3 linked regions of the Neodiprion lecontei genome follow. Each later gene encodes a partner of the first gene's protein in a complex. Links are inferred from orthologs where the notes say so. Each region holds a gene or a part of one and is shown in the gene's direction. Other genes may lie near its edges.

Region 1 (11,223 bases):
AGACAAATTAATTAGCTGAAACAGACAAAAAGATTGACGGGCTGAAACAGACAGAAGATTCGATTAGCTGAAACAGATAAAAGGTTTGATTAGCTAAAAGAGGCAGAATATTTGATTAGCTGAAACATACAAAAGGTTAGATAAGCTGAAATAGACAAAAAGATTGATTAGCTGAAAGAGGCAGTATATTTGATTAGCTGAAACAGACAAAAGGTTAGATAAGCTGAAACAGACAAAAAGATTGATTAGCTGAAAGAGGCAGAATATTTGATTAGCTGAAACAGACAAAAGGTTAGATAAGCTGAAACAGACAAAAAGATTGATTAGCTGAAAGAGGCAGAATATTTGATTAGCTGAAACAGACAAAAGGTTAGATAAGCTGAAACAGACAAAAAGATTGATTAGCTGAAAGAGACAGAAGATTCAGTTATCTGAAACAGGTAACAGGTTTGATTAGCTGAAACAGACAAAAATATGGATTAGCTGAAATAGACAGAAGGTTCGATTATCTGAAATAGATAAAAGGTTTCATTAGCTGAAACAGACAAAAGGTTTGATTAGCTGAAACAGACAAAGGTATGGTTAGCACAATCACATAAGTCCATATATTGCCAAAAAATGGGTCGAGCCCAACATGATATTCGCTTTAATATTCGTTGCTTCGATTATTAATTGTATTGAACAGACATTCTAAATTGTTTGAATTGACATCTCTTTCTGCTTTGATTTATTAAAGTGAATATCTTTTTTGACTGAACATTCTATAGTTCTCAGTGCATTTGTTAAAAAATTAGTTTTGTTACCCTGAAACAGAAAATAATACGATCAGTTAAACGAGTATTTCTGTACACTTCAGATATATTTCATAAATACTTACGCCAAGAATCTCCACTGTATAAGTCTACACTACCGAGATTTTTTTTTTCTGCGCGTTGAGCGTCGGCTTTCAAATGCTGCGCTTTATTTTATAACTGAAAGGTATCAAGTCCACGCGCAAAAGGCGCTGTGGAACTTGAAAAGTTTATTATTCATCAAAAAATTGACCAAAGAGCTGAAAGATCAGCACATCGGGAGTGTGTAACTTTTTTATATACTGTTTGCAAGCTCGACGCGCAAAAAGGCGCGTTGGATTTCCGTTCTTAGTTTACGCGCAAAAGGCTGCGTCTAATTCTCGGGATTAACCTACGCGCAATAAGGCGCGACAGGTTAAACTGTCAAAAATTTGTAATATCTGGGACTTGTCCCAAAAATTCTGTGGAAACCCAATCCACATCTGTATCTTTTTGCATTAGATACATTGCTATGCAGATTGTTGTTCTCAGATTAAAAATCGAATCGAAATTCGGAGAGAGGTTGGAGGGCATGCATTATTGTGTGGCGTGACGGTCGGTGGTCCTCTTCGACGCGAAGACTTCGAGCTCAGCATCTCTCCCCATCTAGCGTACCACGGAACGCGATAGATGGTCCAGAGATGCGTTTTGCCCATTCAGACGATCACAGAAATCAATTGAATGGAATAATGATCGGTAATGACCAAATAATTGAATTGAATAACAATTGAAAAATGGTTGCAGAGTGACAAGGAAATGTAAATTTAATCTTGTTAAAATTCACATGCTTAAAAATGGCCCAGAGACTCGAATACGGAGTCTTTGAGCAAAAAAATCTCTGTGATCGTTTGACGCTGTGAATTACAAAAGTTAGTAACATCACGGTACATCGCGACCTTCCTACCCTTACCCGTTTCCCAACGGAACCACCCAACGGAAAAGAGAGACTCACACACACATGCATAAGCCCCGCGACGGATCCCAAAACGTCCACCTACCTACCCGGTTACCTATATTCGATCTAAACGATTCTCCATTTTTTCCAACACACATCATTCTTCATCATTTGCGCCGTGGTCGCTGACTTACATTTTCGTTGGTTACCTGTTCGGAGCAAAATGTTTTTGTATCGTAGTCTGCTTACTCATCGTCAGAATGAAGTATCGCGGTTGTATCCCGCCAACCGTAAAATTGTATGTATTATCTTAGTAAATTTTGGCAGACTATCGGTACATCAACCTTTTGTAAGATGGATTAGAAACATCCTGTACGTTAATTCGTATTTTTCTAAACGAGCTAAACCTTCAATTGATCAATACTTGCTGGCCGTAAAAAAGTTACAAATGATTCGAGACATAACAGGCAGTTTGATTAAGTTACATTATGCCAGACTTTGGAATTTTATCAATCAAACAATCATATGAGTACGATTAACCAATACCTGGAATATATTCAAATCTCAGGTGATGCCACCGCTTAAACGACATCATCGGTAAATTCAAACGTAGATTATTACATCAGTTGCGAAACACAATTCGATCTCGCGAGTGCCGAGTAAGCGATGGTTACCTGTCGCGATGCTCATTCCACTTTTAGCAACGTGCAAAATTTCTAACTTCAATTAAGCTACGGTAAATTAAATTGCGAATAAAGAAATTATTCGACTGAAAGTCAAGCACGTTGCGATCGTGAATGAGCCTATCCATGCAGCTAAAAAATCGTAGATTTGTGTAACAGTTGTTACCGCCACGCCACGTGACAGAGGAATCCCAGGGAAATACCCGTAACCTGACACATGCAAACTCACCAACGTTGCCGAGCAATGGAGAAGTTACTCGGATGTCTCTGCTTAAATCTGGAATAAACAAAAAAGAAAACTCGAATTAATTTAGCAAGTTGGCTTTTCAGTTGTCAAATCAATTATTACTGGTGTCTACAACCATATTTATTGACAAGACTGAAGCCGTCAGCCAGAATTAACAGCCAAACGTTCTCGTGTTTATTCGCATAAGGTAGTGAAATCCGAAAATCAAAATTTTGTGAAATACCTCGAATCCCCGATACTTTTATATAATTATTAGGATAAAACAGTACCGCATTTTTCTATCTCCAAAAAATTTAACACATTTGACTACTAACATTGGGTGGTAGCTTCAGCTTAATTATTTATCGACTGTATGTTACGCAAGGACAAAATTTCGGCTTCGAATGTACATACATACCACCCTGAATTATCAAACAATGAATAAAAGAAGTATTGTTACCTCCTCTGGGCTGCTCCACACTTTACATGTTGTAGTTCTGGCAGCATCTCAGGCTGAACAGTGGAACACCGCACATTTTACACTGAAAACTTTATAAAGCTATAATCTAAGAATCTGCACCGTAATAACACTTGATTCTACATTCACTCTGACTTTCTGTGCTGTAGCTAGCTACCTGATCAATTGAATAGCGAAAACATGTCAACAGTGCAACTACGCATTTATCAGAAACAAGTGAACCGAAAATAAAAACAACACCGACCGACACAGAAAGAGAAGAATCGGTATCACTCGCTGAAGTTACACCAAACAATGAAAAATTGGGACACGAAATTCACCTTCAACGTTCGTAGAATGTATTTATTTCAATAACTCGGTTTTTCTTCAGGCTATGCACTGCTCCTCGTGTAATATTAAAAATGAGTATGGTGCGAGTACACTGATCGAACAACGTGACACAACCTGAACAACGCGGTCTGAATTTCGATCTGATACTGAGAGCACATAACTTCTCTCTGGTTGTTCGGAAGCAACTGATGCCGCACGGCGTTCAGAAGAAACGGATTTGAATCAGTTCTCTGCAGGACATATGATACCCCCCTTTGCGCTCTGTTTCTTTTCCCGTGAAGTGGGGGTAGCAGCTTGGCAGAGTGACAGAGAGGGGGGGGGGGGGGGAGAATTATTATCTTCTGTCCTTCAGAGAACCAATTTAAATCTGCTCATGAGACGCTTACGCCGTTGTTTACGCTCTATTTTATATATGCTCTCAATGGCCGGGTGAAAATACCACGTAAGCGACGCGCAATATGATCAAATGTTTACAGGATTTCCCTACATGCGAGGTCAGGTGTAAGTTTAAATTGTCTGACCACTTTCGGTCGAATGGAATACACCTAAAACAGATGTAAAATGAGAAAAAAAAATTGTGAACCTTATCCTTTTTCAATCCGTTAAAATTGGCCAATTGGTGCAGAGAATATTTTATTTTCAAAAAGTTTAATTTTACAAACGCTATTTGGCGGCATAAGCTGAAATTAGTCGAGGCCGAAAATGGGAGTCGTGTTTCCGATATTGAAACGCGTTAGTTTGTGCCTCTTTCCTTTTTTAGGGCATGCACAAGAGGTGCGTGATCCTCAATATTCCCGGTTTCTTCTCTGTGGTGTAAAGGTGCCGTTTAATATTCGCTACTATTATTTTGTTGATCAAAAATAATATGGCGAAGTTTGATCTGACGGCCCGAATAGGGCAATACCTTGATCGGCATCTGGTATTCCCGCTGTTGGAATTTCTATCTGCAAAGGAGGTGAGTGATTCTCTGCCAGCTTGATTGACTGTCATCAGGTTGTTGAGCATGGCGGTTTTTAGGTTATCGATGAATAACGCGACGTTGAATCGCCATTACAGATTTATGACGAGAATGAGCTTCTACAGGCGAAATTGGACATCCTGAGCAAAACCAACATGATCGATTACGCCATCGATATCAGGAAACAACTTTATCCGAATTTCGAAGTGCCGGAGGTAGGCGATTATGTCGACCAATGGTTCAGGTTTCGTTAATGATAATTAACAATCGAACCGTCGATAAGGATAAAATGCTTTCCATCTCCCATGGTTTGGTGAAAATTTTTAAGATTTAATATTTTTACAGGAACTTAACGAACGCCGTAATCGGGTATTGCAAGAGCTTGGTGATCTTGAAGATAATGCCTCAGTCATCTTGAAATTGATGAGCGATGATGATACTATGGAAACTATGGAAAAAATGAGGGACTCGAAGTCCCTCAACCACTTTCTCCTTAAGGAATCAGATGTAATTCTATATTTATATATTGTCTGAAGTATTGAGATATGTTTATCAATTTTTCACGTGTATGCAATAACAGCATACACTTCTTGAAGTATCGAAAGCATGAAATTTTTTTTTTTTTATCGAATGGGAATAATGAATTGTTGACGGCTTACAAGGAAGAAAAATATTGCTGGAGTTATCCTGAATTTAGGGTTTTGGATTTTTTAGAATTTATTGTTGTCTTATGTTCTAACACTTTAATGATGCGATAAAAATTACAGTTCAGAGTGGAGATGATGGAGAGCTTGGTCAAGTTGGCAAAGTATCGTTATGAGTGCGGAACCTACTCGGTTTCAACGTCGTACTTGTACTTCTACATGCTTGTGATGCCACCAACCGATAGAGTAAATATTCTTCAAATTTTATAGACTTATTTGCGCTAAGGTTACATAATAATTCATGGTGTCATGTGACTTACTTTTTTAAACGTGACTATTTTCTGTTCAACAGAACTACTTGGATGTCCTGTGGGGAAAATTGGCGTCAGAAATCTTAGTTCAAAATTGGGAAACCGCGCTGGAAGACGTTAATAAACTCAGAGAGTACATAGACAGTAACGCTATTGGCAACACTCTTCAGGTTCTTCAACAACGCACTTGGCTCATTCACTGGAGTCTGTTCGTTTTCTTCAATCATGTTAAAGGCAGGGACCTTATCATTGAAATGTTCTTGTACAGACCACAGTGAGTACAAACACTCCCGATTTTGTCTAAGAATAGAATTTACATTATATTGTTTATCGATTCGTTGATGAAGAAGATTTTTGACGCAATTTTGTTTCATCTTGTATAATTTTCCTACTCATTCGTCAATTCTGGTGTTGAGTGGGTGACAAAACAGAGCCTTTTGGATTACAGCTACTTGAACGCAATACAGACAATGTGTCCGCATATTCTACGCTATTTGGCAACAGCGGTAATCATAAATCGATCGAGGCGGTCTACCCTGAAAGATCTGGTGAAAGTTATCCAACAGGTAAATTCAGTTACGAAATCTTGATCTGCAGTGTTTGATAATTCCGGTATAATTTTCACGTTTAGGAATCCTACACGTATCGGGATCCAATCACTGAATTTTTGGAGCACCTGTATGTGAACTTTGATTTTGATGGAGCTCGTCAGAAACTGCAAGAATGTCAGACAGTCGTCTTCAATGACTTCTTCTTAATTGCTCTGCTGAATGAGTTTGTCGAAAACGCTAGATTAATGATATTCGAAACATTCTGCAGAATCCACCAATGCATCAGTATTGAGTAAGTATTGGCCTACTTTGTAGGACATTCTAATTTTGTAATTTTTCGTGGAGATGATTGGATGCCAGCTAATTTTTATGCTCTTTTAGTATGTTGGCTGAAAAACTTAATATGAAAGCTGATGTTGCGGAATGTTGGATAGTCAATCTAATTCGCAATGCAAGATTGGACGCAAAGATTGACAGTAAGCTGGGACATGTTGTTATGGGTGGACAGCCAGCTTCTCCGTACCAACAGCTGGTTGAAAAAATCGAGACTCTGAGCGTGCGAAGTGAAGCTCTGGAGAATCTTATTGAGCGGAAATTGAAGGCGAAAAATCAGGATTCAGTTAGCATAGTCTGGAATTAGCAAAGGTATGTATTGGTTCTTTCAGATGAGTTTAAACGTGCAAAAATACGATATGTTATAGAAAATGTTATTTGACCATGCTCTATTCATTTCAGGTTCTACAATGTATAAAGATTTCCACCATTTTAAACATTTTATAATCAGGATAACGATGTTCAGACGAAAAACGAAGAATTTTGTAACAAACTTCCACCGGATGTGTACCGTTTTTCTACAGTCATTTAAGATCACCATGTCAAGTCAATTTCGTTGTAAGCAGTACATACGTGAAATCAATAAACTGATTCTAATGAAAAGAATTCAATTTGACGATTAGCCCCTTGGTATTCGTACGGTTTATAGGAATAATCGAAAAATTATTTTCAAAATGATAAAAAATATTTCATATAAACTTAGAAAGAAATATAATTTGTCAAAATTTATTATTTCATATGCCAAAAATACAAAATATTCTTGTATAAAAAATGGTATCTCGCAGAAAGTAGACAAGAAAAAACGTTGTAACGAATAGACTTTTGGATTTATTAAATATAGTTAATATTTTTATTATCTGTAGTATGAAATTTATATCTTCATATTTGTTATTCTCATGAATACTAGTTTGAATACTTTGAAAGTTACGTTATCTCCTTATACGCCTGATGCATGAGAAAGATTAAAAAAAAAAAAAAAACCAGTAAATAATTAAAACATTCCCGTTGAGCTGGTCGGATGAAAAAGTCTCCAATTTTCGCAAAGCGGAACAGTCTTAAAACTTTTGACTTATCTCTGAATATTTAATCTCTAGTTCCAGTTGTTTGGAAGTAAAGTTCGATAAAAAAAAAACAATTTGAAAATTTATCGTTCACTTTAAAAAATTAAAAATTATATATTTAAATAGCACTATTGTAACTAACGTATCTAAATAACTTTTAGGAACATATTCTTTATCCTGTGTACAATAAATCATAGATGCAATGATTACAGTTAAAAAAAAATATTCATCAGCACTACTCATTGATAATCGCTGATGAAAAGAAATCACAGCCAGTGTAAGAATTCTTGTCAATACAATACGTAATCACTGTTCTCCAGTAAGGATCTTGTGATAATAAATGTGGATTTCCCAGAATAATTAATAGTGCCCGAGCCCTGGTAATAGCGACATTCAAACGGTGTGGAGAAGCGATAAAACCAAGACATCGTTTAACATCTTCTTGGACTAGATCGCTTATCGATCTGACTGCAGATAGAATAATAACATTTCGTTCTTGTCCTTGAAACTCTTCCACACTGCCAACTTTTGGCAATGTTGTATTCATCTCTGCAAGTAAATCCCGAATATGACGAGCCTGGAGAAAATATAAAAATGAAATAGAACCAAATTTTTGCACTCTGTATAATTAATCCGAAATTGAAACGTTTCAGAATCTTACTTGTTTAGTGTAAGGTGCTATAATCCCAATATCGTCAGGGCCAAGTCCGTGGCTGTAAAGTTTTAGTATATAAAAGTAAGCCTGAGCAGCTTCTTCCGGATTATACCAGCTTGGACTATCTTGATCCTGATAATTCTCGCCGAGAACGCCATGGAAAACTATCGCAGGTGGAAAATCGTCGCGTTCAGGTAAATCGTTAGCGACTGAAGTGAGCAGGTCACCTTCTTTTCCTTGCCTTGTAATCTAGAGATTTGACAAACGATCATTAATTATCATTCAACCAAGAGAGCTAAAGATTATTACCTGCGCCTCGAGCTCAGAATCATAGAATAACGAATTCGGAAGTGCGAGAATTTCCGGCAAGCTGCGATAGTTCATGATGAGTTTAGTAACTAGTCGTGGATCGTAGCCCCTCTCAAATCCTTCCAAGTCTCGTTGGTAAGGGAAGCGCTGAAGCAACCGAGACAGAAAAGACAACCCAAGTCCAAAATGCGATGCGTATTTACTTTGGACGACAGGTCCAAGCTGCATTGGGTCTCCAGCCAAAATTACATGCCCGGTATCGGCATGAATGAAATTTAATGGCACTAATATTTCCGGCTCTGTAGCTTGTCCAGCTTCGTCAACAAAAACGTGGGTGAAGTGACCTCGAGGAAAGCCCATGTTATGCAGTATGCCCAATGAGATGCAAGTACCGACTGTGATTCTGTGCCGTCCCAAAACACTTGCACTGCAGCTCGGTCTTATGCCGTTGGCATTGTGGTCAGGAGTATTTCGAGTTCCCTCTCGAGCCAAGTCACCTACAGCGCAATACGGGATTAGTTTCTGCGGAATTGACCCATCTGTGGTGCAGTGAAACCCTATCAATCTGACCAAATCGCCCGGTTTCAAAACTCCGCTGTCTAAAAGTCTTTCCGATATTAGATTGGCTGAACTATTCGAAGGCGTCGCAACCAACAGTCTGCTTTCGGGTATGGTCCTAAATATCTGCAATATCGTTTCGCAAAGAGTTATCGTTTTCCCTGTTCCTGGTGGCCCAAATATGACGTAAGGCAACGGGTGAGCTGGACTCTGCAAAACGTTACGCACAGCCTCTTTCTGGTAGTAATTCAACGCCCTGTTGAACCATACTAATTTGCGTTTTTTTATTTGTAAAACGCACGAATCAGTGTCTCCAGTCTTCGAACATGCCTGCGCATTCGGTTGCAGGCCTGGAGTAACATCATTTTGTCGTGCAAACGTACTGTTTCTGGATTCTCCATCGTCACTCATTTCCAAAAGTTCCAGTTGCGGTGGTTTGGGTACAATTTTTGTAGGAAATAAAAATTCTTTTCCCAGATGATTTATCGCCAAGTTAACGGCCGTGTGACAGCGACTCGACGGTGTTTGGGAGCACTTGAATGTCACTTCGCATCGTTCGCCGTTATATTTTTCATGGAAAGCTGGATTGAACTTGAGTAAAATCTCCGAGTTCTTTACCTCGTGAATGCATCCCTCGTACTTTATTTCACCTATGAAAAATAAGGATAAAAGCATCAGTTTCAATGACAAGAGTAGAAACTTCCTCTGTCAGGAGTCGACGAAGTTAAAAGTTGTGAGAACTGCTCATAATTCACCTTTGCTGGAGTCCCAATTGAAAGAAACTATGGCTTTGTCTCCGACTAAGAGCGATGGTCGTTTTTCCGCTAGTCCTGGCACTTCAAGGGCGAGAAATTCTCCGCAAAATCTCATGACTGTACTGCTTATGTCGTATCGTTGTAAAGCTATAGAATCAGCTATGCTTTCCAAGTACAACAGAGCATGAAATCGATCTCTGTAATTTTGAAACGTCAAATCTTCGAATAAGCAAGGCACGGTTTCTTCTATCGCCACAATGCCGCTCCGAAAAGGTATTTTATCATTTTCTAGGCGCAATACGACATCCCATAAGTGTTGAGGTATTTTGAATATTCCAGGCCTGACAGTAATGAACTTTGGTGCTTGACAGGTTCTAACGCCACGAACACAGGTCGATTGATCGAACTCGTTTTGCTTGTAAATTTTGTTTCCCCTTGGATTTTGACCGCTTTGCACGTTATGATTTACGGAGTTTTTCAAACTAACATTGAAGCGAAACATGCGATGGACTTTCAGATGTTTGAAGATGAACAGAAACATTTCTTCCGAATACCCGACAAATTTTGCATGGCATCTGAATACATATGTTATTGATTCCGAAGGCTGCAATACTGACGCAGTATCTATTTTTGGTCGCAACAAAGTCAATTGCGACATGGATTTTTTTGACAGAAAACATCCTTTGAGTAACGTCTGTGGGTGAAGTCCATTATTTTTTATCTCTATCGAAATATCTCTCATTTCAAGCAATTGCAAATCGAACATCAAATTATTTGTGACAACTATCCCATATTTTTCTTCTCCAAAAGTTTCTTGTTTTTCATTTACAGTTTCAGTTTGAGCCTGATTATTGAACAATTGTCTTTGCGACACCTAGAAAGGACATAAATGAACTTGTACAATTTTTCAGAGGACTTCAGTAATCTATTACACTCAGGAATTCATTTTACCTGATGCATTAGCGGAACGACCGACAATGACCTCCACGTCTGCATTCCTTGATCACTTTCGATGCTATCTGCGACAACTTTATCGCCGACACATGGAATATATCCAGGCTCGCAGTTGGCTTTGTTAAAAACGATGTTATGCTGTATGGTACCAGAACCAGACTTGACGTCATAGGCAGATACAACACCAGTGGCGAGTTTTGACCTTAGAGGAAAAATTTTGTCAACCTGAAGAACTTCCCCGCTGAAATCTACAACGTTGTCGTCAACTGCTACTATGGTTTGAAGTTTGACCCAATCCCCGACGATGGGCAAAAATTCAGAGGTGATTTCGTCAAGGCTGAAGGAAATTTGGCCAGGCTCAATAAAAACCATCCTCTGCTCCCTGCGCATCACCTTTCCAACAATAACGCGATTCAGCATTTGGGATTTTACCGCATCTTCGGTGCAAGTTGCCACTTCGTTTTCCCATTCGTCATCAATGATTGATAAAATTTTTTTTATCTTTAGCTCCTCACCCTTTGTCCTCTGGAACGCCAGGTAATACACTTTGGCTCCAACTCGGATTTCTCCGATAGAAGCATTTACGTTTTGGCATTCAAATTTATCATCTATTATAAAGTATTCGGACCTAATTTCCGTTACGATACCAGTTTTGTGAAAGCATCCTTCTATTTCTTCTTCAGTTATCTCTC
Region 2 (10,594 bases), on another chromosome or scaffold:
CGTACGCACAAACACGACGGCGACTGTCAAATTAAGGCGGTTCCTTTGCTTTGTCCATCTACATTAATGTCTGTGATGTGGAAACGGTTATTTATTTGGTGAATTGCGTGATTTCCTAGCAATTCTTCAACCGAGTTAAATATCGTTAATTGATTTCTTGCCTATGTTTATTATCATCCGTGATAAGGTACTTAATCTGTGATAGCTGCAGGTTGCACCACCTACATTCATCAGCTGCAACGAAATAAGGTGTTTTCATTCCCCCATTTTTTGCTGCATACTTAAATTCGGTCTTATATCCGCATGTTTGTCTTTTATGAACGAACTCCGTGACTCATCATAACAGCAACAAATGTTGTAGAGCTGAATCCTTTCTGCTTTTCTGTGGAGTCTTGAAATTGAATATTATATGGCGTTAATATCGAGCAGACGAATTTGAATTTCAATGTTCGATAAGAGCAGCGGTAGACCTTGAATATCAGTTTGCTAGATATTGGAAAGTTCTTTTGCGAGCATGAATAATTCGTTTCATCATTCACTAGGCTTACTACTTTCGCTTTTTTTATATCCAGCCATTTATATTCAGGCTAAAAAGATGCTATGGCTGCCTCGGGATCACGGGAAAATGAGGAGGACCTAAACGGAGACTCGGGGTCCGAAGCGAGCAGCATCTTTCAGTCTGGATCTGTTATTTCAACTGTACCTGACAGGCATGGCTTTCTGGGAGGAGCGCAGTATAGTCCTGAACCGTAAGATTGACACTCAATAATCCGCAAAAATTCAATCAATTTCATTCTCCTCTTACCACTAATTTTGTTAATATTAAAATTGGTGGAAATATTCTTGTTACGCTGACATAAGTTTGGTTATTATTACGATGCTTACATGATTGAGAGTGGGGGAAGTCCCTATTACGAAACAGGATAAGATAAACTGATTGTTAGTTCAATATTTCATAAAAAGAATGATTAATCCCGATAACCGCCACTTCATACAGTAAATAAAGGTGGCTTATGATCCATCTCACAGAGTTCTCCTCAGACTTACTTTTTTCATATCCTGGTGAAACTTATCCTCAAGCTAGATGATCAAATTACCAGTTGTGATATTGATACGGACAATAAATTCTCGCTGTATCCTAGAAAAAACTGCCCTGTGATGTAAATTTATATCTTATAGAATTTGGCTTCTCACTGTGATCATTTTTTATTTGCAAAAAATCGTTTAAAGTATAATTTTTCCTTCAAATATTCATTTTGAAGGAAAAAGACACTAACCGAACACGTTTACTTAAATTTAATTGATTATTCTTTTTTACACTTATCACAGAATTTCTCCAGTGGTGTCAAATATTTTGCATTTATTTTTCAAAGCAAGCAATAAACAGTCTTTTAACAGGTTGTATAGCAACCGGGAATTCTTGGAAAGCCAGGAATTAAAGTGCCTTGAAAAGACAAGAATTATACAGGAATTTTTCCCAGCAACTGGGAATTTGCAATTAAATTGCTGTTTCTACATTCACCTGCAGAAAAACGAATTTTTAAAAATTAATATTTCTTCGGAATATCGCTGTAATTTAAAAATTTTTAAAACATAGAAAGTAGAAACATATAAAAGTCAAAATGTAGATTGGTTGGAGTATAGAGAATATGATGGTGTTCAGTGTTAATTATATCATGACAACACACAAGCGCCATAGAAATCATTATATACGAATATACGGGAGAAAACATGTTTGAAAAAAATAATCAGAAATATACGGAAATTATACGGGAATCTTTTATTCTGATATCACTGGACATCCTGTTCAAAAATCTGCTCAGAACTTGAACCTTTACTTCCTTCTATAGCCTTGTAAATCGAAATGTGAAGTGTATATCATCAGATATTCAATAACTGCCTAATAACTACTGATTATTATTTTTCGAACAGAAGACAGATTGTGCCGCCAGAGGTAATACTTCGAAGGGAGCGAAAATGGCTACGAATGTTGGGAAAATGGAACAACTTTATGTCAGCAAACTATCGCAAAGTCAGAGAGAGATGTCGGAAGGGAATACCACCATCTGTGAGGCCACGTGCATGGCTCTACCTCTGCGGAGGAAAACTGCTGATGGATGAAAACCCGCACTTATATGCAGAGCTGATTGCCAGACCTGGAGATCCAAAGTACATTGAAGATATACGGAAGGATCTTCACCGGCAGTTTCCTCAGCATGAAATGTTTGTTGAGAATGCACCTGGCCAACAAGAATTGTTCCAAGTTCTCAAGGCCTACTCCATTCTCAACAGCAAAGTCGGCTACTGTCAAGCTCAGGCACCCATCGCAGCATTTTTACTCATGCATATGCCCGCTGTACAGGCCTTTTGGTGTCTCGTCGCGGTCTGCGACAAGTATTTAGTGGGTTACTACAGTCAAGGCATGGAAACACTGCAGCGTGACGGAGACATTTTGTTTGCACTTCTAAAGAGGGTGTCTCCAGTTGCTTACAAACATTTGGTCAGTTAGATATTTGTTACACACATTAGATATAATCCTGGTTTTTCCGTTTTTCTGGTTGTAAACTGCGAAATTCTCATGGATGCTTGTCGCTTGTTATTACAGAAGAAACAGAAGATGGAGCCAATTTTGTACATGACTGAATGGTTTCTATGCGTTTATACGCGAACATTACCCTGGGAGAGCATTTTGCGTGTTTGGGACATGTTTCTTTGCGAAGGAGTAAAGATTATCTTCAAAGTTGGACTAGTTTTGCTCAAGGGTTGTCTGGGCCGCTCGACTCTCACCAAACACTGTCCAACCATGTATGAAACTCTTCAACAATTGAGGAATCCTCCTCACCAGCTCATGGAGGAGGAGATGCTCGTGAATCAGGTAACATTTTGACACTATTCCGCAGATTATGTCATTAAAGGCATGGCCACTTGAGCACTATCGATTAAAATCTTTGTAGAGACTCAGTGCTTTTTTGTTACCAAAATTCCGACTTTGTCACTCTAGCCATTTTGACAAATTCAATGGCGATGTTAGGTTGAAAAAAGCTAGCACCGTCACAAATAAAAAATGAAGATAAAAATAAAATAAAAATGGTATATTTAATTACTAATTAGTTGCTTAACCTTTAGGCTGCAGCTTGGCCAGTATACAGATCCGTTTCAGCAATTACGCGATCAGTATTTACTTCTAGAATTAGTTACTCTGTAAAACTACTGCGTGATTTTGTTACTTGCGTGCATTTGGCCGAAAACCATTACTAGTGTGATAAAAATACGGAACGAAAGATATTTCGCGTAATTTTGTATGTTTATCATACTAGGGGTGGCTTTCGGCCAACGTCAGGTGAGTTACGAACTCATGCCATCGATTTTGACAAAGCAACTAATTCTAAAAGTAAATACCGATCGCGATATTGCTCACATAAAGAATATTGTGTAATTTCATATTTTCACTACACCAGGGGTAGTTATCCAAGCTGGGAGTTGATAATTTCACATGTATTTCTTCGTGAAATTCAAGCAACTAAATAGTAGCTAAACATACCATTTTTATTTTATTTTCATTTTCATTTTTTACTCATGTTAATGCCAATTTTTTTCAACCTAGTATCGCCATCCATTCTGCTAAAACGACTGATGCAAGAAAGTCAAAATTTTGGCAAGAAATTAGCAATAAAAGAGCACTACATCTCTACATAGATTTTAATCGATTGTCCTGAAGTGGCAGTGTCACCTTTAGAGACACTCACAAATAGGGTAATGAAATGAGTTTCTTACAAGTAAAAATTCATTCGGAATGGAAAGAACACTTATTGTTAGTATATGATATCCATATTTCACTCCAATACAGATTCATAGACTGAAATTGAGTGAAGAAGACTTTGAATATGAGCACCAGAGGCAAGTGGTTCGTAGAAAATCGAAAGACCAAGCACCTCCGCAGCCTACGATGAACGGAACTGACTGATTGAAAAAAGAAAGCATGAAAATGGAATCAACAGCTATCAAGAAAAGCTCTTGAACATATTCCCTGAAATACGATGTGCCTTTTCCACAAGTATATCATATAGGTATGCATGTATATGTAATGCACAGAGTATGAAGTCTGTTCATCATAGTTAATTGAAATATTAATTCATATTATTATTATTATGTTATTAATTATTATTATGTTATTAATTATTATAATCTATGTTGAAGAATGAAAACACGGTGTTTTATGCACATTCCCGCAGTAGATAAATTACATACTTAGTACCTTTGTTCTATTCACATTGTTATTACGATTGTTGATAATACAAAACAAGCACAATATTTTTGTTATAGCTATATCATATTATTTAATATAAAAACAAAGTATTTTATTGTGCTGTATCATCATTATATTATTATTATTATTAAACTATATGCTCCATTGTCAATATTTATGTACAAAAAAATGCGAAACAAAACTTGTATACCGTACTGTATTTTTAAATGAATCGTATCTTATACGAATATATCACAATAAAAAAATTCGACTTATTAGTAACGAGTGAATAATCAATGCAACATTTTAGGACCCGAGATACTGAGTCGAAAATTCTTTGAGAATAAATTCACTCATGTCATCATCTCTACATATGTCGCGAGCACACTTTAGGTATGTATGTACTTGGTTGCAGAGACTTCACCATCGTCGAGTCGGTGTACAGTATTTACATAGTTTTTAGTAATCCTTATTCTATGTATTTCATACATGTAAATGTAACAATGTATGTTGGCGAAAGACCCACTGGGAAAAACCCAGTGGAAAAACCGCGTAACAATCGCCATTGCAACAGCTTGTTAAAAAATCCGCTAGGTGGTGTACACTGTCTGACAATTTGACATGATCCGAAATTTCAATGACGTATCCGCGTCTATGTATATCTATTTTATTACAGGTTACAATTGTCGACGCCAAGCTTATTTCGTTGCAATCACGGTCTTACATACAGGTCTGGCAACGAAGGTAGTGGGGGTGGTTGATTTCACGGCCGGTTATTTATCTCACTTTGTGGCCGCCAGGTCGGCGTTGTGATCGAGAGATGGATAATCAACGCGTGCGCAATGCATCGCCATCCTAATAATAATATTATTATTGGCACATTTTCATCCGTACCATCCCTACCCCACGTACATCCCGAGATAGCAGCGCTGCGACATGGCTATTTCAAACACTAAAAATCACGGACAAAAAGAGAACCACGCCGCTGCACGCCGCTCTGTAGAAAATTGAGCTTCGTTGCCAGACCTGTATGTAAGATCGTGGTTGCGATCGGCCTCTTTACATTGAACGGCTACCCGTAAGGGGATTTCTTTGCAGGCGATCACAGGTAAATTGATTAACGAGTTATTACGGTCTGTATAATAAAGAAAAGACTTCCTCTGTAGGATGATCAAATTTCTCCTAAATATTACGGCCCCCAATTGTGACTAGGACTTAAAATCAGGCCAAAGCAGTCTATTTTACTGTGCCATGTGTTTGACAACTCATTTGTAAGCCGTGCAAATCAGCAGTGATACATTTGTACAGTTTAATTTCACAGATTCAGTCTAATCATGAGCCGATTTTTCGCCACCGGATCGGACTCCGAGTCTGACAGCTCGTCTGAGGAGGAACAGATTCAGAGGCCCACAGGGGCAGTTTATACGGTATTTTTCAACCTTGCCTTAATCTAACCTTAAATCACGTTGAAGTTCGCTACCGTTATGTGACACAAACAGACTTCGATTGTCTGGTTTTGGTTATCACGCATTTCACCTTTGTAAACGAATAAATTTTCTTTACAGTTCAGTGATGATGAGGAAGAAACAAAGCGTGTTGTGCGCTCAACAAAAGAGAAGCGTTATGAGGAAATCACAAATCTGATTAAACTGATTAGAAATTACAAAAAAATCAAGGATATGAGCAGCATGCTCACAAGTAAGTATTAGTATTACGCGACCTTATGGTTCGGGATTGTATGGAATAAATTAACGCTGGTGTTGTGGGTTCTAGGTTTCGAACAGTTGACGCGAGCTTATGCAAAGGCACTGCCAGTTATTGCCAAGGAGGAAAATGGCCAGACGCCACATTTTTACTTACGATGTTTAGTCGAGTTGGAGAATTTTATTACTGATGTTTGGGAAGATCGTAAGAATATGTCTAAAAATAATTCCAAATCACTCACCTCTTTACGCCAGAAGATACGGAAATATATCAAGGACTTTGAGGAGGATATTACCAAGTTCAAAGAGAATCCTGACCAGGAAGATGAAGATGAGGAAGAAAAAGGTGCAGTTTCGATTATCAGAGTTGAATATTACAGTGTTAACGCAGAGAAATATGTAGATATAATTTAGTTACCTCAACTAAAGCAAGTTAATGTTACATATTATTAATTATTTAACATGATCACATAGCTGAAGAGGCTGAGGAGTCGGATGGAGAAGAAGATCGTGCCAACGCCTTCAAGAAAGCTAGTTCAGCAGAAGCAAATGCTCCTGATGTTTCGAAATTCAAGGTTTGAACGTGGTTACATTATTGTATTAATTGAGCTCGTTAGTTGGCCAAAATTGATACTTTTTATCAATTTTGTTATGAATTAGTCGTTCATTTAGCATTTATCAAATTTTCATTATATTTGTAGGGTTTGATCGTGGTCACGTTACCGCATTAATTAAGACCGTTGGTTGGTCGAAAATCAATACGTTACAATAATTTTATTATGAAATAGTCGTTCATTGAGTCTATCAAATCATTATATTTGTAAGCTACGAAGATTTCTTTAAAAATGGAATATACTTCAATTATGAACAAAAGCATAAGTATCCATGCTTTCTAAAAGGCATTGAAATGTTTAAAAATCTCGTAGATTCGTTTGATTTCATTCTAGAACCAATAATTTCATTTAGAAAACTATTGTCTGCAAAGTTACTGAAGTACTTTTTTTTTTTTGTTATCATGCTGGCATCATTAAATATTTAGTTACATAATATTGCACTAGTAGTATTCATCATCAACTAATGGCAATATTGAATTAACTAGTTAAAAAAAATTATCTGGCTTAGTAACAGTGTAGAAAATAATCTTCTGATTAAAATGTAACAATGTATTGTGAAATCGAAAAATTTACTAGAGTTCTACTTATTTAGAAGTAATTTGAAATAAAACAGCCATATCTAATCTTATGTTTAGAATTCCAGTATTTTCTATTCTGGCGTTTTGAAAGAGATCTTTGGAATATAACAATTTGATTAATACGCAATGTACGACGATCTTTAAGGGACATTACAGTGTGATCCTCCGAAATATCACTGATTTTCGCGATTTTTTTTTATGGTTAGGATAAACTAATCGGTTTGATTTTTTTTTGCACATCAAGGCAGTGATGAAGAATATAAAATGATTTTTTGTAAGTTGATTTATTTATTGTTTAATATTGTTTTAAATTATTGAAAAGTCCGATTCAAAAAAAAGGTCCTGCATGGTGTCCAGGATTGCGGTCTTAATCCTGATCTGAAACAAAAATTGCAAAAAGATTATTAATCTGTATGAAAGCCGCTATCGTGCTATGGACGCTTTTTTTTTTTTTAATTTGACAAAATGGCGGCGGTTTGAACAAAACGTATCGAATTCAGTTTTTTTTTTACGGTTTTTCGTAAAAAAAAATTGAAAGATTTAAAAAAAAAAAAACTTCCATAGCACGATAGAGAATGACGTAAAGAATGTTCTGTCAAAATTGCAAATGGATAGCTTGAAAACTCTTCCTTTGAGAGTGGACACCATTCCGAGAAAAACGCGTTTAAAGATTGAAGTTAGAAAATTGTAGATATATCGTTTAATTACGATCAATCGGCGATACCAGGTCCATACAATATTCCTTCTGCTTCCTTAAATTGTTCATTTCCTGCAGGAACGTACACGCGCAGGTAGGAACAAGACAAAAGGAATAACAGTTGAATGGGGAGACAAACGCAGCAGATGTCATATTCCCTTTCTCTAAGAAATGCTGTAGTGACTGAAATAATTCGAATTTCGTTAAAAAATTTGAGAGAATGTTTATAATAGTGTATACTATCCGATAGTGCAAAAAAAAAAAGATTTTTTGAAAATTTCACACTGATGATCCCTTAAATAAAATTGAAAAAAGGGTCGATTTTTTGCCTCACAACTACTTCAATGTCTTTTATTGTTTTCATGACTTTTTTCCGTTTGTAGAAAGGTCCAACGATCGACGGTGAGGAAGCCAGCGACAGCGACGAAGATTGGGGAAGTGATTCTGACAGTGATAGCACATCAAGCGATGACGATGGCCAGTACACAAACATTCGCGAAAGATTCATAAAGAAAACAACAGACAAAGATGATGACGAAGATAAGGCAAAGAAGAAAGAACAACGCAAAGAGCGCAAAGACAAGGAGAGAAAGAAGAGACGTGATGAAGACGACGGCGAGGGTGAATGGGAGACTGTTAAAGGAGGTGTGGCAATACCGTCAGAAAAGCCTAAAATGTTCGCCAAGGATGCTGAGATAAATGTGCAGGCCGTGTTGAAGAAACTAACTGAGGTGATAGCTGCACGCGGTAAAAAGCGAACAGACAGAAGAGAGCAGATCGAACTACTTCATGAGCTGCAGTCGATTGCTGAAACTCATAATCTCGGGCCAGCCGTCGCCGTCAAGATAAAGTTTTCTATAATCTCTTCAATATTTGATTATAACCCAAAAGTTTCCGATGCGATGAAACCTGAATACTGGTCAAAGCTTCTTGAGCGCATATCGGAGATGTTAGACATGCTTCTGAGCACTCCAGATATGGTAATCGCAGAAACAGTCTCTGAAGACTCAGAGGAATACGAAACACCGCCGTACAAGCTGCATGGTTGCGTGCTGACTCTGGTCGAGAGATTAGACGAGGAGTTCACCAAGCTGCTTAAAGAGTGCGATCCGCACAGCAACGAATACGTCGAGCGACTGAAGGACGAAAAACGCGTATCAACGATTATAGACAAGGTGCAGGAGTATCTGGAGAGGCAGAGCGTAGTATCAGAATTGTGTCGGATTTACCTTCGCAAGATCGAACATCTTTACTACAAGTTTGATCCGACTGTGCTGAAACAGAAGGATGGCGAAATTGCTTCCAATGTCGTAACGTCGGTCCAAGTTATGGAAAAATTGTGCAAATTTGTCTATGCAAAAGATGGTACAGATCGTTTGCGGACCAGAGCTATTCTTTCGCATATTTACCATCATGCGCTTCATGACAATTGGTTCCAAGCTCGAGATCTGATACTGATGTCCCATTTGCAAGAAACCATTCAGCATTCAGATCCGGCTACGCAAATACTGTACAACAGAACGATGGCTCATCTTGGACTTTGTGCGTTTAGACATGCAAACATCAAAGATGCTCATAATTGTTTGGTTGACTTGATGATGACTGGTAAAGTTAAAGAGCTCCTCGCTCAAGGCTTGCTGCCGCAGCGGCAACACGAACGAAGCAAAGAACAGGAGAAGATTGAGAAGCAGCGTCAAATGCCGTTCCACATGCATATCAATCTCGAATTGCTGGAATGCGTTTACCTCGTGTCTGCTATGCTTATTGAAATTCCTTACATGGCTGCGCACGAATTTGACGCCAGGCGAAGAATGATCTCTAAAACGTTTTACCAACAATTGCGATCTAGTGAGAGACAGTCTTTGGTCGGTCCGCCAGAATCGATGAGGGAACATGTTGTTGCCGCTGCGAAAGCAATGCGGAACGGAAACTGGGCTGCCTGCAACAATTTTATCATCAATGAGAAAATGAACGCCAAGGTTTGGGATCTTTTCTATCAAACCGATAAGGTTCGGGCCATGTTGACAAGGCTGATACAGGAGGAAGCGCTGCGAACTTATTTGTTCACTTACTCGCATGTTTATGACTCGATTTCAATGCCCACACTGGCAGAGATGTTCCAGTTGAAGCGCCCCGTAGTTCACTCGATTATCAGTAAGATGATAATTAATGAAGAATTGATGGCATCGCTCGATGACCCGACGGAGACAGTTGTGATGCATCGCAGTGAACCCAGCCGTTTGCAATCCCTGGCTTTGCAGCTCACTGACAAAGTCAACAATTTCGTTGATTCTAATGACAGGATATTCGAATTGAAGCAAGGTAATATCTTCGTATTTATCAGATTATTTGTATCTATGAATAAAAATTTGTATTCATTATATTACACTGTTGGCATTGAGAAGAAATCAAAAGTTGGAAAATGGGAAAAGACTGTTTAAAGAATTTCCAGCAATGTTATTTGTATCAATGATGGTAAACACAAATGATAGAACTATTCGACCATGTAAAAGAAATGAATCTGAACCAATCTCACTAACACAAGTTAAGTTCTTAACAGTTTGAGAAAGGATTTTATAATCAGAACGTACAAAATGCACAATCTCGTCTGTTGTCGAGCCAATTCCAAAGTTTTGTTCATCAGAGATTGAATAAAAACGTTTTACACATGGTTATCATCAGAGTGGACAAAAACAGATTTGTATAAGTATGCTGAAAGAAATGTTTGTCAATAATTACAGTTGCAGGTTGTAATT
Region 3 (10,159 bases), on another chromosome or scaffold:
AAATTCATTTGAATGAAAAATGTACTTTTGTACCGGAACTATATCGAAAAAAGTCAACAAATTGATTTTTCCATTTGACAAAGTTACGAAAAATCGTACAAGGAAACTAACCACGCGAATTTTAAATAATTTTAACTCACTAATTAAGTTTAAAAAAAATATAATGACGTAAATATGCTTACAGAAAACTAGGTGGCGTAGGACTTCGGTCAGATCTGTCCCCTCGCTTGCTGTCTGGACTCCTTTCTTTGTTGCTATTTCTTCTGTTTCTCCTACTCCTGCTATTGTGATTGCTACTATTACGGGAATTGCGCCGGTGATTACTCGTTGGTGATCTAGATCTGCTTCGGCCCTTCGATCTAGACCTGGATCTGCTGCGAGATTTACTTCTGTATCGTTTTTTGGGCGGACTCGGGCTTTTAGATCGTGGCCTTAAAATAGGGGACGGTGATCGAGACCTCTGTCTTAATCCACTCAGAATGTCTTCCTCCTTTCGTTTGCGTGCCGCATTTTTCGCCTTGTAGTACTCATACAGACCGAGTTTCTCCCAGCCGTCACTAAAATTCGATAGTAACAATATAAGCATGCATGCATTTAGTCCAATAGTAATATACCTAACATCAGCGTCACATCGCTGTGAATTGGTGTATTTGCCTGAATATCGTATGTAAATGTGTCGGTATAACATGAAATTATTACTAAACATTGATTTACCTATCCCTGGGTGAATCGTGATTTGGAGGAGCATAAAATGCTTCGACTGCAGCAACTAATCTATCACTCGGTGGAGCCGGTGGTGGAAGTCTTATAGCATCTGGATCTAATGACTTATATTCGCCGTCCTCCAATTTGATGAGTGGGACCATTAAGCCAGCTGGTAATTCGAAGTATGGCATACTAGGCATAAGATCTTCCATGGATGGTTCGTGAATGATCGGTGGAGGGCCAAAGCCAGGTGGTGGTTTAGAGAAGTCCGGTAATGGAACATTGGTAAACGGAGGTGGTTCCGGAGCCCCAGGAACTCCCCAGCCTGGTGGGGGCTGACTAAAATTCATATCACCACCAGACATTGGAGGAGGCGGCCCAGTGTGAGTTGGTGGTATGTTTAAATTTGGTTGGTTCTGTATAAAACATTTTCATTAATTAGAAGCGCGAAACATTTTTTGAATATGCAATATCAGTTTATTTTACAACAAAGCTTACCATTTGCGGTGGCGGAGGTGGTGGAGCTTTAAGCTGCTGATCAATGGAAATTTTCTGCTGCTCTATAGTTTGAATTTGTCTCATAGCATGATTGATGAAGGCCTGATGCTGAGCTTGATAATTTTCAAAAGTCTGTTTGGTTGATGTGGTGATTGGTGTAATGGCACTTGCATGTTTTGAAACTAAACTGGCCTGGTATTCTGACCAAGATATACTCGGTTGCTTCAACTTCTCGATTATTCCATCGTCAAAGTAATTATTTTTAGATTCCCAAAGGCTTAAAAGTTTGTTCAATTTATTAAGCTGTTCATCGGTAGCAGCCAATGACGTGTTGCAGAACATCGGGACAACAACGCTTTCCATTGCTTTGCGAAGATCGATTGATTTTTTCCTCGCACTAAGAAATTGTTTTAAGATTTACAATAATGTATACATGATTATATTGTATGTGTTGGATAAAAAGGTACAGAACCAATTCTAGAATATCTTTTATAAACCAGTTATATGCATTTCCAGTTTGCATTCATTTGACCAGTCTGCTTATCCTACCTTCAGGTAAGCACTGAGTCGAAATAAACTTTTGAAATAATAATCCTCTTTGTGAAATACACTTGTGTGCTTACCAATGATGAAGAACATCGTTTACTAAGTAAATCACGTGTAACTTCTGGCTGAAAGCTGCTCCTTGAATTACTCTAAAATTTATTACAGAAATTACTATAATTCGATTAAAAAAAAAATTAATATGGTTTTGTTGCCGGCTAAGCTTTGATGTGAAATTTTGATAACTTTAAACACATCGAGAAATGGTGATGAACAGATATACATACTTTTTCAGCAAATGCTCAGCGATAACTTGATTGCTTTGTGCTGTGATAGAATTCTGTAGTATCCAAGCCTTTCCGGCACTGATGCTGTCCTTAGTGCAGCTCTCGATAATGGGTTGTAGTACAGAATCAAATGCAGAAAGGTCAGTGTTTGTATGCTGAGCATTATTTTGCAGCGATGCTTCTTGAGCTTGTCTGACAGCCTCCTCGACTCTCCCTTGTTGTTGAGCCATTAAAGCGGCGTGTTGGGCAGCGAGGTTTTGCTCAGATTGCCTAACTTGTTCTCGGAGTGTAGCTTGCTGTGACTGAAGCTGCGCAAGTTCATTTCGCAACCAACCTGAAGGACCGGCAATATTGACACCAGAATTAACTCCTCCGATCGGCGAATTCACGTTCCTTATTGGTCCAGGAATGGCCCCAACAGGTGGTCCCACATTTCCAGGCCCTCCGATTGGTCCTGGAACTCCGGATACTCCGGGTACCCCAGTTATCCCTGGTATAACGGGCCCTGGGTTCCCGACCACTTGGCTTAAACCGTTGTTTTGAGCGCTCAGGCTCGAGGCAAGACTGACGTTATTTTGTGGCGAAGCGACGGCCGCGGCTGTTTGCTGCTGCTGCGAAACGTTTAAACGTGGGTCGGCATTTTGCATTGGATTTATTCCTTTTTGCTTTAAAACTGTAAACGAATGACGGTGGATTATTGCAATTTGTTTTCATTTCTTCATGATATTGAAAAAATAAACTAATGGTCCATGTTTTTTACTTTTTTTTTGTTATTTTTTTGTCATTTTTAATTCGGTTGTTTTTTGGATGAATATCTTCGAATGGCACATATTAATTTTTCTGGCATCATGTAAGAATGCATTAAGTCTACTGTTAAATTTAAAGCGCCACTGAACACAGAATGTGTTGTTTTCTTTCTTTCATCGTGCTACACCAAACAGTTGAGTACAGGAGCATGTATGTAAAACAGATTTTACTGCGGCAGTGTGTAGTACTCTTCATAAACATAAAAGTAGTTGGTATTTTAAACATTTGTATCCTTGCCGATCTAATCTTGGATCAGATAACAATCCTAAAGCTACATCTTGTTCTTATTTGTATTTTAAGAAAGCCCCTTTCACATTTCTAGTTTTTTTCAAGTCTTATAATAAATAACGATTCCCAAAATCTTGAACGATGTCCTGATTTGCACAAATGACATTTTTCATCTCATTGCACGGTGGTGATGTTTTGTTCATTTGACGATTTCATACGTTTTCTCATAGTCGTTTTTTTGTTTTTTTTTTTTTTGGGTTTGCTTCTAGCTCATTGAACGAAGACCTTTTTTTGTACGTTGTTAAGGGGATTTGTTCCCACTTACTGGCTTGCTCCGTTGTCACTTTGTATTGATAGTAGTTAAAGTGCTCTCCGCCAAACAGGAAACCAAACTTCGGGTTATCCTTTTGCTTGTTTTTCGTCATCTGCTCAAACTCTGGTCCGTTACGTGCGACAAATTGAGCCAGCTTGTCTATGATGTTGCGCAAGTCCGTGTCTATTAAATCATTTAAAACAGAACTTTGTTAGAACAATCGGCATCCAACAACAATGTAAGCTTACATCATATTTCATGGAAAAAAAGGATCATCATCTTACCCGGTATTATTTTCTAGACAGATTATTTTCTAAAATATTCAAGAAATCATTATGACATATAAGTACAATATCCTAGTTACAGTTCTGATATAAAAAATAATCCAACATTTAGATAGCTATCCTGTTATTTATTAACTTTAAAATATAAATGGAAACAATATGTAACCATCGCAGAACAAGATATGATATCAAGATAAGGATATCAATATAATGTTATTGCGGTATTGAAGAGTATCAGATATTTCTCTTGAGACAAATCGTTTATGATATAACTTAAAAGATTCTCCAGACTTGTTTGATCGCAATTTAGATGTCGATTACGTGTTGTGAAATGAATATGGAATACAAATATTTACCCTGTTAAAATCATAACCATACCTAAGGTTTGATTAACAGATTGTATATCTTGAAGGGTGATTGTAGGAGAGAAAGCAGCGAACGGACAATGAATGTGAACGTGGAAAACAAAAATAATCACCGATATTTCGCCGAGTGTTGTAAAAGATTCGTAGATAGTCATACTTAGTAATAAATCAAAATTCCAAATTCTCATCGGGGTGCCGATTTCGGCAATTTTAAGGTGGACGTGAGAGGAGCCACATAACCTAATACAATTCCTGTACACAACGATATGTTTGTGTAGCACAGGGTGAGAGAAATCTGCAGTGATTTGTATTTACTCGTCAAGTTGTAAAGGTGGAGAGTAATATTGTATTGATGGGCGAAAAATTAAGCCGAAAAATTAATTGATACGTGATACGTAGTGTGGAAATAATACCGCGCTTCGTTGATTCTTGGGATTGTGATTTTTTTTCTCTACCTGCAGGAGCCTGATCCATTTCTTCTTCGTGGGTACTCGAGACTCGTCGTGTAACGAATAATTCACACTTAATAATGAAACTCTATCGTATTTTCAACTGTAATGTTGTGCCGAAAACCATTATGCTCACGATACAGCGACAACGCTAGACATCGCCATTTTTTTCACTTCGTCTCCCTCGCCGGTGACTCAAGAATGTAAAGACAGTCCCCCTAGTGGACTTTGGTGTGACAACCGAAAATCGTCGTGCGCTTGCGCCCTCTGAGATGTTCCAACGGTAGAGTTGAGAACTTATTGCAGAACATCAGAGAGATACGATTTCGACATGATGCTGGCTGCATTCACCGTGATCCACAGACAACTTATAGCCATTCATCTACATTCGTCGCTAAAGTTTTCGATGTAACGCACAGAGGGAGCAGCGATCGCCCCCAACGCCACTGGCATTTCTTCCATTTTGGCTGATCGTCTATCCGACGGACATATGTACGACGAAGCGTTGTCAAGTTCTTTTAAAATCTTCCAAGTATTACGTTTCGTTACACCGATACCGTTACTCACGGAGAACAGGTAAGTTTGTAATATAATAGTAATATCTGCTATTCCATATCATTTTTCATTAAGGTGCTCAACGCCGGCTGAGATTCCAAAATTTATGACACGTGAGGTTGATCTACTCAAATGCAATTTTCAGTATCTTCTACAATGTTACGATCATTTTACCAGGTTAAAGAGTCTTCCAGTTGCCAAATCATTGTGTCGCGTTTCTAAATTTAATCGACGCTACTTTCATGAATTGATTGGAATGATGGGTATCAATACTCGAGACGTTGCGATACCCTAACCTCAAATAGTTCAATGCTCCATCCTGAGTCGTACTATCCTTTCAAACGCAGAGATATTCTGGATCTCCACCATTCTTTGAAATCCTAAATATACATTTATAAATTTATGAAGATCGTTTACTTTGTAAATTGCTCGCTATTATTCCGTTCGCTATCTACACTTCCTTAATCAATCAGGTGTAAACAAATGTTTCTTAACAATCGAAGGTTCCTGTACAGGGAAATTGATAGTAATTTAAAATCGAAAGTCTTCCGCTTGAATTGGAATTCTTCTAGAGGCTGAAAAGTTTGATAAGTTACAATTAAAAGACATGTGAAACGTTAAAGAGAAACAACTAGTAAAAGGTAGAAAAAACGTTAGGATTGATATACTTGGCCCAACACTATTGTTTACCCATCTACTAGATTAGAGGTGTTTTTCAAACTTGCAGACATGCCGGTAACAGAAGAAGTTAAATCCAGTTGGGCAGATGAAGTTGAGGAAGAAGGAGGAGCACTGCCACCACCGACAGAGGTCTATGAAAATGGATTCAAAATCCTTACAGAATACAAATACAACGAAGACGATAAGAAAGTAAAAGTTGTCCGTACATATAAGGTGGAACGTCGTATAGTATCAAAGACTATAGCCGTGCGGAAAAACTGGGCAAAGTTTGGAGACTCCTCGGACGACAGACCTGGACCAAATCCAGCCACAACTGTCGGAGCAGAAGATGTCTTCATGCAGTTCATTTCAAATAAGGAAGAAGAGAACAAGGTCGAAGAAGACTCACTTGACAAATTGAAGAGTATCGGGGACAAGGGTGTCGTCAAGTGTCGTAACTGCAATGGTGATCACTGGACTTCAAAGTGTCCTTACAAAGACACTATACTCGCTGGAGGTAACTTGATACTGATATTTACCCATTATTTGAAGTTCTTGCATTCACTCATCCAAAAACTTTATAATATTCAGGAGCCCTCGCTATACAAGTTCTGCGATTAGAATAGATTTATAGGTATTAGTAAAATTTCGAAAAAGTAAGACGAAATACTGAGAGATTTTATACTGTAACAGGAAGTTTTTGTCTCAAAGGAAACATTTTTCCAAATGTTAGAACTGCGTCCTTAAAGTTTGAACATTTTATTATTCCTCAGATGAACCGACCATTCAATTGTTAAAATATTTTTACCTTCAACCAGTAATTGTGTTCGGTACCAAAAGAGAATTAAGCTTTTCTCAGTCCATCTTTCTAATTTACTGATAATCTTGAAATGTTTTACTCCAGGTAAAGTTCCAGATGATAAGAAACCAGCTGGAGTGCCAGGAGCACCTGGAGCAATGTCTGATCTAAATAAACCTCAGGGTAGTAGATACGTACCACCCAATATGCGAGATGGCGGTAATAGACGTGGAGATTCGATGCAGATGACGAAGCGTGACGATACAACAGCGATCCGAATTTCCAACCTCTCTGAAAGCACTTCCGACGCCGATTTGGAAGAGCTTGTTAAGCCTTTTGGACCAATTCAAAAACTGTACCTTGCTAAGGAAAAGCTAACTAATTCGTGTAAAGGATTTGCTTATGTTCATTATAAATTCCGAGCTGATGCTGCTAAAGCTATTGTTCAATTACATGGACATGGTTACGATCACCTTATTTTAAATGTGGACTGGTCCAAACCCCCCACACAAAGTAATTAGATGTCAATTGCGCATGTGACTCCGTTTTACAAGATTAAATCCTTCTGACGCAATAATTGATCATTCGTTAAGACCCTATTGATATGTATCTTGTGTAATAAATTATAATCAAATATTTCAATGTTTATATATATATATATAAATTGAATGAACGGATTCCACGTTTCAGTAACCAAGGTATTGTTTTGCAATCTCTGCAGTTGTATCTTTGATTCTTTAATAAATTGTCCAAAATATAACTCCTCTGATTATTGATAGTTACACACTTGCAACAAAATAACTTTAAAGTGAGTTGGGTATTGCTGAAAACTAAGCAAAAGAGAATTGAACTCAGATTAACCATAATGATTCATTTTTATAGAATATACATAATAATAATTAATTCACATAGTCGTCAATAATATAATCATCCAGTAAGCCCGGATTTCCAGGAAAATTCGGTACTATATTGATGCAAGAAAGGAAAATACCGAATTATCTTTAGTATCAAAGGACTTTCCTTTCTATCCATCTTAAAAATAGTATACATACATTCTTACATCTAGTATCATGGGTTTCCAAAAAAAAAAATCACAAGAAATCAAACTCGCTTCACATCACTCATGTCGGGAGAAGCATTGTAAAATTCATTAATTCACGTTATGCAGATTACAATGTGTGGACTGTGTGACATAAAAATAAGAAAGAAAAATTCTCCTAATATCATTTATAAAAATAATCATTACCTTTCAAAGTATTACAGGTTTTTTACAGTGCTGAATTTCGCGATTTTATACAAAAAAAAAATTGATATTCAACAAGTAAGCACATTTGGCAGATAATTGACTGATCATTAACAACATTATTGTCATTATTATTATTATTATTATTATTATTATTATGTTATTGTGTTAATCGTCTTGTATGAGAATTTATTTACAAAAATGAAAATCAATTCTATTACCGCTTTCTGGCACTACTTTCGAAATACATACCTTAATGAACTTTTTACTTTATTATTATTACTTCAGTTTTCAAGAAATCGTTTACTCGTATTTACGAGAGATTAAGTCCGATTTATTCTCAGTTACTGCGACAAAACGCGATTTGTAATCAACTATACCTACTACTAGTCGAATTCTCTGGTTTTTCGTAAATCACTAAATGAGATTTTTTTCAATTCTTCTAGCTTCCTAATCTCTAACTCTAAGACCCCAAATACTCGTTCGCCTAACACCAACTGTCGGTCTGGCGACTGAACTGTATAGGAACTTGTTTATTTCAGTATTTCCGCAACTTGCTTGCAGTGTATCTAAAGTAGGTTCGGCCATTAATCCAAAGACGTCCAGGTACATTAGGCAGGGCATGTGAGCTAGTCTTAAATAAGTGGTAGGAGGAATACTGTAGCAGCGACTTAGGGCTAAGTGTTCTAACTTTGTGAGGCTTAATAGACTTTGGGTGGCATTGATTGTAAGCATTGTACAATCACTCATATCGAGTTCGATGATACGCGGGCAGCATTTTACCAACTCTTTGACATCTGCAAAAATAAGTCAATAAATAAATAACAAACTTTTAAATACTTCGTCGAGGGTCATAGTATTTAATAGCCTATTATTATACATATTTATATTATTATGTATATTTATATTTATATATTTATATACTTACTATCATCTGTCATGGTTTTCCGACATCCGGCAATATTCAGCCGGGTAATGGTGCTTGGTAATTGTCGACAAAGTAATGTCATACATTCTAAATCCAAGCCACACCAAGCAACGTTAAGAGCATTCAATCTAAAATGAACAAGAAATGTTATACAGGTAACAATAATGAAAATAAGACTGAGATTACAGCTTTCAAATAAAAAATAACAAGTATAAATTGGGAAGCAAGTACCTCACCTTGACAATTTTAGAACATCCTGGAGACATTTTATATCAATTCCTTCACACATGGTTAAATTTAGAACTTCCAAGTCTTGATTTTTGCTTATAGCAGTACAGCAAAGTCTATTCAGTGTACATTTCTCGAGAGATAATTTTTTCAAAAATTTACACACGGATAACAAAGCTGCCAATCCATCAGGCGATATAACGGACATTGACAAATCTAGGTATTGCAGCTTACTGACGTAATTTTCGTTCAGAGTTTCACTGCTTGGCTGAAATACTGGGTCTGCGATTTCTGCTTGAGCCAGTCTCAATGTTTGAACACCTCGTGGCAGGATATGTCCCAGGGTTCCTTCTCCCAAAACTTTACCACCAAGGTCTAAACGACTCCACAATGCCTCGTCACGGGCAATCTGACACCATCGTTTGCAAACAAGCATTGAACGCACCTGAAGACAGATTATACAAATATTTAAATACGTAAAAATAGAAACAGAAATGCACGTTGTAGAGAAAATTCAGATGGTGGTTACCAAGCATTTTTTCGGAAGCCACCTTAAGATCATCAGAATCATTTCGTCAGAGAGTTTGTTGAATTTATCTTCACCAGTAATAGACGGTCTTTTCTTTCGTCTGTACAAATAAAATTGATCCAATCCGTTCTTATCTACCATGTCTCCCAATTCATCTTTGCTGAAACTTTGTTTCATGTCTCCAAATGTTTCTGTTTCAACTCTTGACGAATAACCAGACTCATTGCCGATAGACAAATATACAGAAGCATCCTCCAACTCAAATGGATCTTGTGATCTCTCTGATCTGTGAACAAGTTATTAAATTTATTAATAACCAATCATTACAAAGCCGTGAAAATGAACATTCGTCTCAAGAATTAATCATATTGAAGTTAGTAACATTATCGTAACGTTTGATGCTGAGAAAAAACAACATCAAATAGCATCAAATTTGACAGCTTTGGAATTGTCTGAAATTTAATAAACAATAACAAAATAAAAACACTCATGATTCGAAATCTTAGTTCCTTCAAAATCATTGTAAAATTAAGAAAATAGTGATTACTTCCCCAATGTTTCGTTACGATAACGTTACTACCTTCAACCTTGATTAGAATAAATCAAACTGAGTTCATGAATTCTATTACTTCATTACTGTGGTATGGAAACTGTAATTTGCAAAATTGCATAATATGAAATGAGTTCTCTTCTAACAGTAGCTAAGAATTCAAAACAGAATGAGTCACAAGCGAGATA

The links.
Region 2: eukaryotic translation initiation factor 3 subunit E (region 1) and eukaryotic translation initiation factor 3 subunit C share a complex: the UniProt entries of both Caenorhabditis elegans proteins name them as parts of the eukaryotic translation initiation factor 3 (eIF-3) complex. The link is inferred for Neodiprion lecontei from reciprocal best matches to the Caenorhabditis elegans genes eif-3.E and eif-3.C.
Region 3: eukaryotic translation initiation factor 3 subunit E (region 1) and eukaryotic translation initiation factor 3 subunit G share a complex: the UniProt entries of both Caenorhabditis elegans proteins name them as parts of the eukaryotic translation initiation factor 3 (eIF-3) complex. The link is inferred for Neodiprion lecontei from reciprocal best matches to the Caenorhabditis elegans genes eif-3.E and eif-3.G.

Annotation. Positions count from the first base shown.
Region 1 is NC_060266.1:21,377,946-21,389,168, reverse strand, and holds eukaryotic translation initiation factor 3 subunit E, read left to right. Parts: upstream 1-4,190; 5' UTR 4,191-4,307; coding exon 4,308-4,397; intron 4,398-4,498; coding exon 4,499-4,615; intron 4,616-4,745; coding exon 4,746-4,907; intron 4,908-5,167; coding exon 5,168-5,290; intron 5,291-5,396; coding exon 5,397-5,629; intron 5,630-5,803; coding exon 5,804-5,921; intron 5,922-5,986; coding exon 5,987-6,198; intron 6,199-6,287; coding exon 6,288-6,546; 3' UTR 6,547-6,551; intron 6,552-6,641; 3' UTR 6,642-7,335; downstream 7,336-11,223. Other genes in the region: probable RNA helicase armi, read right to left, coding at 7,536-7,877, 7,962-8,204, 8,265-9,472, 9,578-10,451, 10,529-11,223. UniProt on the Caenorhabditis elegans protein: Component of the eukaryotic translation initiation factor 3 (eIF-3) complex, which is involved in protein synthesis of a specialized repertoire of mRNAs and, together with other initiation factors, stimulates binding of mRNA and methionyl-tRNAi to the 40S ribosome.
Region 2 is NC_060261.1:25,906,380-25,916,973, reverse strand, and holds the start of eukaryotic translation initiation factor 3 subunit C, read left to right. Parts: upstream 1-5,188; 5' UTR 5,189-5,354; intron 5,355-5,554; exon of another isoform or gene 5,555-5,567; 5' UTR 5,568-5,580; coding exon 5,581-5,673; intron 5,674-5,811; coding exon 5,812-5,944; intron 5,945-6,019; coding exon 6,020-6,295; intron 6,296-6,423; coding exon 6,424-6,524; intron 6,525-8,221; coding exon 8,222-10,160; intron 10,161-10,594. Other genes in the region: TBC1 domain family member whacked, read left to right, coding at 601-749, 1,933-2,500, 2,606-2,875, 3,848-3,964. UniProt on the Caenorhabditis elegans protein: Component of the eukaryotic translation initiation factor 3 (eIF-3) complex, which is involved in protein synthesis of a specialized repertoire of mRNAs and, together with other initiation factors, stimulates binding of mRNA and methionyl-tRNAi to the 40S ribosome.
Region 3 is NC_060263.1:36,421,884-36,432,042, reverse strand, and holds eukaryotic translation initiation factor 3 subunit G, read left to right. Parts: upstream 1-4,898; 5' UTR 4,899-5,055; intron 5,056-5,761; 5' UTR 5,762-5,763; coding exon 5,764-6,211; intron 6,212-6,598; coding exon 6,599-7,014; 3' UTR 7,015-7,253; downstream 7,254-10,159. Other genes in the region: calcium homeostasis endoplasmic reticulum protein, read right to left, coding at 183-557, 715-1,121, 1,204-1,600, 1,827-1,898, 2,034-2,706, 3,394-3,564, 4,486-4,504; S-phase kinase-associated protein 2, read right to left, coding at 8,187-8,533, 8,665-8,792, 8,901-9,337, 9,422-9,707. UniProt on the Caenorhabditis elegans protein: RNA-binding component of the eukaryotic translation initiation factor 3 (eIF-3) complex, which is involved in protein synthesis of a specialized repertoire of mRNAs and, together with other initiation factors, stimulates binding of mRNA and methionyl-tRNAi to the 40S ribosome.